Ovis aries: one gene and its partner. The protein of the gene in region 1 purifies or fractionates together with the protein of each later gene. This does not show direct contact. Links are inferred from orthologs where the notes say so. Each region holds a gene or a part of one and is shown in the gene's direction. Other genes may lie near its edges. The genes, in order: SUDS3 and SAP130.

Region 1 (3,819 bases):
AGATCCATTTCTGAAAATGAAATCAGAGGATATTTCAGTGTTAGTCGCTTGGTAGAGTTCAGCACGAGGCGTGCTTATCCAGTGGCTTTTCACAGGCTGGTTCTCCTAAGGGCCTTTCAGGCTACTCCCAGTCCCAGCTTACAGAAGAGACAGGCCCAGTGTTTAGGGTGCTTCATTCAGAGCAGCACTCAAGGGTCTTTGCTAGGCTGCAAAATAGAACTCTGAACTGGCAAGGCATTTTTGTTGTTGTTGTTTTTAAACATGGCAATTACTTACACATCCGTCCATGAGGTGAGTCTTGTGAAAGGAAACAAGATTCTTGCCACTCTAAATAATTCCCTCCTGAAAGCCACTATGGTCCGGAGAGAAGTTCTGAGTGTCTGAAGGCCTGGTGGGGCTGGTTGTGAATTTAGATGATTTGATCCCATTTTAGTTATCAGCGCTTTTAGCTTGACTCGATACATACCCCAGTAACCTGCTCTATCTCTTGATAAATATTTCTAGACATTTAATTTTTATAAATTTAAAGAGATTTTTCCAGTTCTTGCCCACTGGAGCTTCTTACTGTCAGTGGTGTTTTAGTCCTACCCCCAGTCACCTTGGGCACATCCTTAGCATGCCTGAGCCTCAGGTTTCAGTTTCTCTTCTGTGGGGAGGTTAATCTTTGCCTTGCCTGCTCGCAGAGTTGTTTTGAGGATGTGATGTACAAGAATTTTGTTGAATTTCCATTTATTACAACGGTAAGAACTTGAGGATCACGAGGACCCTTACCCCCTTTTAAATAGCATTTCACTTAAAGCATGTTAGTGAATGGACTCGCATGCTTGTGACATGCTTAGTCATGGGGATATCTCTTTGGTTCCTCCAGCATCCCCATCCTCTCCTGAACACTTGCCCACCACCCCTGCAGAGTCTCCAGCCCAGAGATTTGAAGCTCGGATAGAAGACGGCAAACTGTACTACGATAAAAGATGGTAAGTTCTGTGTGAACATAGGTTACTCATTAGTATCTCGAAAGAACCGTTTGGGAAGAGGGCCAGGTCTGTCTCTAGTTATTATTTCAGAGCATGGCTGCTGCTTAACTAAAGGTGGAGGGAGGTTAAGTGTGTCAGGAGTTTTGGATATCTGCTGCTTGTTAGATCTCTGAAGGCAGTGTTCCCCAAAACATGTTCTTCTGATCATGCTGCTGCCACCATGCTAGAACCTGCAGGCTTATATCTTTTGTGGTGCCCCTGTAGCCTGGGGTCAGGGTTTATGTCCCCCTCTGTCTCCCCTTAACTGGGCCCTCTGCATGCTGAAATTAATAGGGGTTCTGTGGAAGAAAAGATTCTGTGGTCAGGTGAGTGTGGGCCGTGGCTGTGTTAACTAATAACTAAGATCAGTGGGTTTCGTCATTGTAGCACTCTGGGTCTTCTGATACGCTAATGTACACTGTGAATTTATGAGATGTTACTCAGTACTGTTTATCTGACCAAGGTACCCTTTTACACAGGCTGTCCTGGTGGCTCAGTGGTACAGAATCTGCCTGCCAGTGCAGGAGATGTGGGTTCAGTCCCTGGGTTGGGAAGATCCCCTGGAGGAGGAAGTGGTGTCCCACTCTAGTATTCTTGCCTGGGTAATCCTATGGACAGAGGAGCTTGGGGGGATCGCAGAGAGAAGGACATGAGTGAGTGACTGAGCATGTGTGCACCCTGTTACACACCACATCCTGCAGCACAAGTGTTTCAGGGAATGTGCCTGGGAGAGGTGTAGCCTGAACCATTACTAGTTTAGATTGAAGATGGTTTGAAACCTTCAGGCCACCATTGAGGTCTTTGGAAGGAAATAGCAAAACAATATGAAAAACCTTATTCATGCATTTGCTCTTTTTGTAAAGGTTTCCTACTGTTTGCTCTGTGACTGGGCATCTGCTAGGTGTCAGGTCACCTGGACCCTGCCACCTTTTCTTTAAATTCTCAATTCTTCCTTTTATTCATTGCCCATGTGTAGGCATACTGTTGGTCAGGGTAAGTCATGGTGGACATGTTTTCATGCTGCCTTTCTACTTGTTTGTATGGAGAATGTTTCCCTGGGTTATTGTAGGGTCTCTGTAATTGCCATTTATAATGGTTATATAATGTTTTGAGTTTCAGTCTTTAAACCAAAATTCAAAAATTAGTTATGATTATTTTGAATGTTTTGAGGTTTCTTTAAAAAAAAAAAAAAAAAGCCCCAGTATTAAATGTGTGAAGTTGGTAAAAATGCTCAGAGACCTAGTGGTGCCTGAAGTAAATCAGTTCCACCCGTGAGGTTACAGTGAGTTAATAACCCAGTAGAGGATGAAGGCTGGATCTGTCTGTTAGCCTGATCTTGGTGACTTCTGCTCCTGTCATTTGATTCTTCGGTGTCCTTCTAAAAGGCCAGTTGTGTTGTTTTCTAGGGTTGCTTGTCAGAACACATCACCACTAGATGGCAGGCCCTGACAACTCAACACATCAAGGGGCAAAATAAGATGAAAAATGTTTCTAATAATGAAAACCAAATAACCTTTAAAGATCAAGCCCACACATAAGAACCATCTTCAAAAATGATGAGATTTATCACTAACATCTTTACGAATCTGTGAGTCCTAAAGCCCTGTGATATTTCAGATGATGTTCATTTTGTCATTGCGTCGCTTTCTGTCTTCCTTCTCCTAAGGCTTCGTCCTCAGATTTACAGGATATGAAAAGGCAGTAAAATAAAATTCTTTGTTTTTCTAAAGAAAGGATCCACAGTGACGGGGGTTTCACGGTGTAGACCGTGGTCAGGTGGGATGTGTCCAGCCACCTAAGCATTTGGAAGGCATTTCACTGTCTTTCTCCCAGTGGCAGCAGAGATCTTTCAAGTGTCTGGGAGCATCTGGTAATTTCAGTGACTTTCAGGCTGCTTACTCTGTGGTTAAGTATGATGACTGTTGTTTTCTGCATTCTTTGTGTTCCTCTTCTGTGGCCTTGCTGGTCAGAGTTCACGTCACATCTGCTGAGAGAGGGCCCCTCCCAGTCCGCTGGATCTGGCAAGTGTTTGCCAGAATCCTGGCTGATACAGTCCCAGTGCCGGACTGGCCTCTCACGTCTGACCAGGCTCATGATGTTTGGCTCCGTGTCCTTGTCAGTTTGGAGGCTCTCGTTCTTCCTTCTTTCTCAGTAGTCCTGGCCTATGGCCGAGAGGTCTGCTGAACTGCTTTCTGCTCTTGCCGGTGGCGTGAAGTATTTTTGTGAAACGGTATTTCTGGCAAAACACATTTCATTGAGTTTTAAATGACTTCAGCACAAGGAGTGTGATTTGGGCTGCCCATCTTGGCCTGAACACTTATTTATCAGGCTACGTTTCACTTGGGAAGATGAGCATCTGCCCTTGCCTCTGGGTATACTGCTTTTAAGATATTTTATGTCCTGCTGGAGGTTTTCCTCACGTTTTGATTTGTACTAATGACCCTCCTTAGAAAGCACTGTGAAAGTAGATGAGATTTTAAGGTGACTCACTGATGGTGCCAGTGGACTGTATTTTCTCCCCTCACTTTTAAATCTGGGGCTGCTAAAGTGAATCCAGTGAAACCACCCACGTGCACGGGTGGATTTAACCTTCCGGCCTGGCTTTTATTAATAACTCAAAGCAGTGACTCTTTCTTTATTTTTAATTGGAGGATAATTGCTTTACCGTGTTGTGTTGATTTCTGCTGTACAGCACCTTGTGTCAGCTATAAGTGTACGTATATCCCCTCCCTCTTGAGCCTCCCACCCCCACCTCCCCAGCAGTGCCTCTTTACAGCTGGAATTGGGACTTCTTGCAGTCCTGTGG
Region 2 (3,819 bases), on another chromosome or scaffold:
GAGGGCTACAGTGCATAGGGTTGCAAAGATTAGGACATGACTGAAGTGACGGCACGTGTATGTAACTGTATATACATGTGTGTGACTATAGGTGTATAGCGGAGAAGGCACTGGCAGCCCACTCCAGTACTCTTGCCTGGAAAATCCCATGGAAGGAGCCTGGTGGGCTGCAGTCCATGGGGTCGGGAAGAGTCAAACACGACTGAGCGACTTCACTTTCACTTTTCACTTGCATGCATTGGAGAAGGCAGTGGCAACCCACTCCAGTGTTCTTGCCTGGAGAATCCCAGGGACGGGGGGGCCTGGTGGGCTGCCATTTATGGGGTCGCACAGAGTCGGACACGACTGAAGCGACTTAGGAGCAGCAGCAGCAGCATAGGTATATAATCTATATATTTTGCAAGGAATTGCTCCCTCTCATATTGTTCCTGAAAATTCACTTGTTGCAGAGGTGTTTTCCGTTTCATTCATTCATTTATTCATTCATTTATTAATTCCACAAATATTTATTGAAATTCTATGTAAGATCCTATGCTAGCTCTGCTTTAAAATTGACTTATAAACAGATGTTGCTTTCAACAAGCTGAGAGTCTAGTAAGGAGATGAGGTGTGAAAAGATACTATAATATGCTCAAGCTCACAAGAGAGACTTGAGCAAAGCCATGCTGTTTCTGAGTTAAGAGGTTATTTCTACTTGAGAAGGTCGGGTTGGAGGTCAGGAATGATTTCCTAAAAGAAATGACATTTGGGAAGCATCTTTCAGAATGGATAGGGCAGAGCCATGGTAGGACTGGAGAAAAGCACATTTCTGTCTCTGAATAAAGTATTAACTAAAATATGTGCTTGAAAAAACAGAGTGGCTTCGTTTTGGTGGAAGCCTAGTGTGAGTAAGAATGCGAAGTGTGGAATAAGATTAGATCTTGCTCAGTACTAGAGAGTCTCAATGCCTGTGCAGGAGACACAGGATCAGTCCCTGAGGTGGGAGGATCCACTGGAGGAGGGAAAATGGCAGCCCATATTCCATGGGAGAAACCCATGGATAGAGGAGCCTGGCAGGCTGCAGCCCACAGGGTCACAGAGAGTCAAACACGACTGAGCACACACGCACACACGGTGTGGGTGAGAATATAAAGTGTGAAATAAGATTGGGTCTTAAAAAGGCTTGTAGTAGTAACTAGACTGCAGGTTCTATAGCAGGCAAGTGACCAAAAACTGTTGTGTAACAGAAATACCATGGGTATACTGCTCAGGAGGAAACTAGAATGCTCTGGAAATTGTCTATGTGTGTATTCTACAAAGGAAGAATTGTACTAGAACAGGGACTTTTAAGTTTACGTGTTCTATCACTTCATTATTCTTAATGCATAATAACTTACCTTTTTATTTGTCATTTATAAAACATTTTTATTATATTATTAAAATTGAAGTATTTGTTGTTCAGTCACTGAATCGTGTCTGACACTTTGCCACCGCATGGACTGCCATGCCATGCTTCCCTGTCCTTCACTATTGCCCAGAATTTGCTCAAACTCATGTCCATTGAGCCATCCAGCCATCTCATCCTCAGTCATCCCCTTCTCTGCCTTGCCTCAATCTTTCCTAATATCAGGGTCTTTTCCATTGAGTCAGCTCTTCACATCAGGAGGCCAGAGTATTGGAACTTCAGCATCAGTCCTTCCAGTGAATATTCAGGATTGATTTCCATTAGGATGGACTGATCTCCTTGCTGTCAAAGGGACTCTGGAGAGTCTTCTCCAACACCAGTTTCAAAGCATCAGTTCTTCAGAACTCAGCCTTCTTTATGGTCCAACTCTCACATCTGTACATGTCTTACTGGAAAAACCACAGCTTTGACTAGATGGACCTTTGTCAGCAAAGTAATGTCTCTGCTTTCTAATATGCTGTGTAGATTTGTCGTAGCTTTTCTGCCAAGAAATTCTAAAATTCCAAAATTGAGATATAATTGACATACCTTAGTTTCGCATGTACAGCATAATAATTCATTATTTGTCTGTATTGCAGAATAATCACCACAGGTCTGGCTGGCATCTGTCACTATACAGTTCCAGATTGGTTTTTTTCTTGTGATGAGGACTTTTTAAGATCTACTCTTAGGAACTTCCAGATTTAACTGGTATATTTAACTGTAATCATTATGCTGTGCATTATATCTGCATAACTTAATGTCTTTAACTGGAAGTTCATGCCTTCTCGCTACCTTAGCCTGTCTCACCCGCCCTCTGCCCTTGCCTGTGGCACCACCGGTCTGTTTTCCCTATCCAGGGGCTCGGTTTGTGATTTTCTGCATTTTAGATTCCATATGTATGTGAGATCAGATGATGTTTGTCATTCTCTGTGTGACTGACTTCACTGAGCACAGTACCCTTGAGATTCATTCATATTGTCACAGATGGCAGTGTTTCAGGTTTTTTTCCTTTTTAATAGCTGAGTGTTATTCCATGGTGTGTGTGCATACCATGTCTTCTTGATCTACTCGTCCACTAGTGGACATGGATTGTTTCCATATCTTGGCTATTGTAAGTAACACTGCAGGGAACATGGAAGATACGTCTATCTTTTTCCAGATTTGTTTTCTGAGAAGAAAAGTCTTGTTTGTTTTCTTTCCACAAATAGTGAGAAATCCCTTCTTTTTTTGTTTCTTCCTGGGAATGTTTGTGTTTTCAGTTCTGTTGTTGAGTCAGTTTTTAATGTACACGGTAGCTGATTGAAAAAGGACAGGTTGATTGTTCTCTCTCCCAAGTGCATATTTTAGAATTTAAAATTAATAACTACTGTATTTCAGAAATTCCTCTGATAGTGGTTCTTCTATCAATTAAAGCAAAGATTCTTGACTTGGAGGCATGGATAGATCGCAAAAGTTTGTATTAATTATTTCATAGTTGCCTGGCTCACATTTGGCTTTTAATAAATGGTTGCTTTTTCTCATTTTAATGCTATTTCTGCAGAAAGATCATCTCAAATTAGTAGAAAGTAAGGTGGAGAAAACATCAATGCTTAGAGATTTATATAGCACTTTCTTTTTAAATTGAGAGTTTAGATCTTGAACGTGGAAAAATTGTTTTGATTTCTGAGTGTTTTTCTCCTTGAGTGAGTGAGTGAGTGAGTGAAGTCGCTCAGTCGTGTCCGACTCTCTGCAACCCCATGGACTGTAGCCTAACCAGATTCCTCTGTCCATGGGATTTTCCCGGCAAGACTACTGGAGTGGGTTGCCATTTCCTTCTCCAGGAGATCTTCCCGACCCAGGGATTGAACCCAAGTCTCCCACATTGTAGGCAGACGCTTTACCGTCTAAGCCACCAGGGAGCTAACATTCTTGTCACTTTCTGCATCATCTGTAGTTTCAGCTCAGGCTCCAAACTCTGCCATCACAGCTCAGACTGGAGTAGGGGTGGCATCCACAGTCCACCTGAACCCCATGCAGTTGATGACAGTGGATGCATCTCACGCTCGACATATCCAAGGGATCCAGCCAGCCCCCATTAGTACACAGGGGATCCAGCCAGCCCCCATTGGCACCCCGGGGATCCAGCCAGCCCCCATCGGGACACAGGGAATTCACTCAGCAACCCCCATCAGCACCCAAGGACTTCAGCCTGCACCAATAGGGACCCAGCAGCCTCAGCCCGAAGGAAAGACTTCAGGTAATTTTAATTTTTTACATGGAACTTGGTATGGAGAGAAAAGATACGTAGGGTTTAAATAATGGTTCTGCCACTTGCTGGCTTTGTGGTCTCAAGTAACCTCATTAAACCGTAGTTTCCTCTTTGGAACATGAGTTGCTTAGAACTTACCTGTCAG

What was found.
Region 2: the proteins of SUDS3 (region 1) and SAP130 purify together in Homo sapiens (affinity purification with western blotting; 3 studies listed by BioGRID, with this or other methods). This does not show direct contact. The link is inferred for Ovis aries from reciprocal best matches to the Homo sapiens genes SUDS3 and SAP130.

Annotation. Positions count from the first base shown.
Region 1 is NC_056070.1:56,874,555-56,878,373, reverse strand, and holds part of SUDS3 (sin3 histone deacetylase corepressor complex component SDS3), read left to right. Parts: intron 1-868; coding exon 869-974; intron 975-3,819.
Region 2 is NC_056055.1:117,480,247-117,484,065, forward strand, and holds part of SAP130 (histone deacetylase complex subunit SAP130), read left to right. Parts: intron 1-3,359; coding exon 3,360-3,662; intron 3,663-3,819. UniProt on the Homo sapiens protein: Acts as a transcriptional repressor. May function in the assembly and/or enzymatic activity of the mSin3A corepressor complex or in mediating interactions between the complex and other regulatory complexes.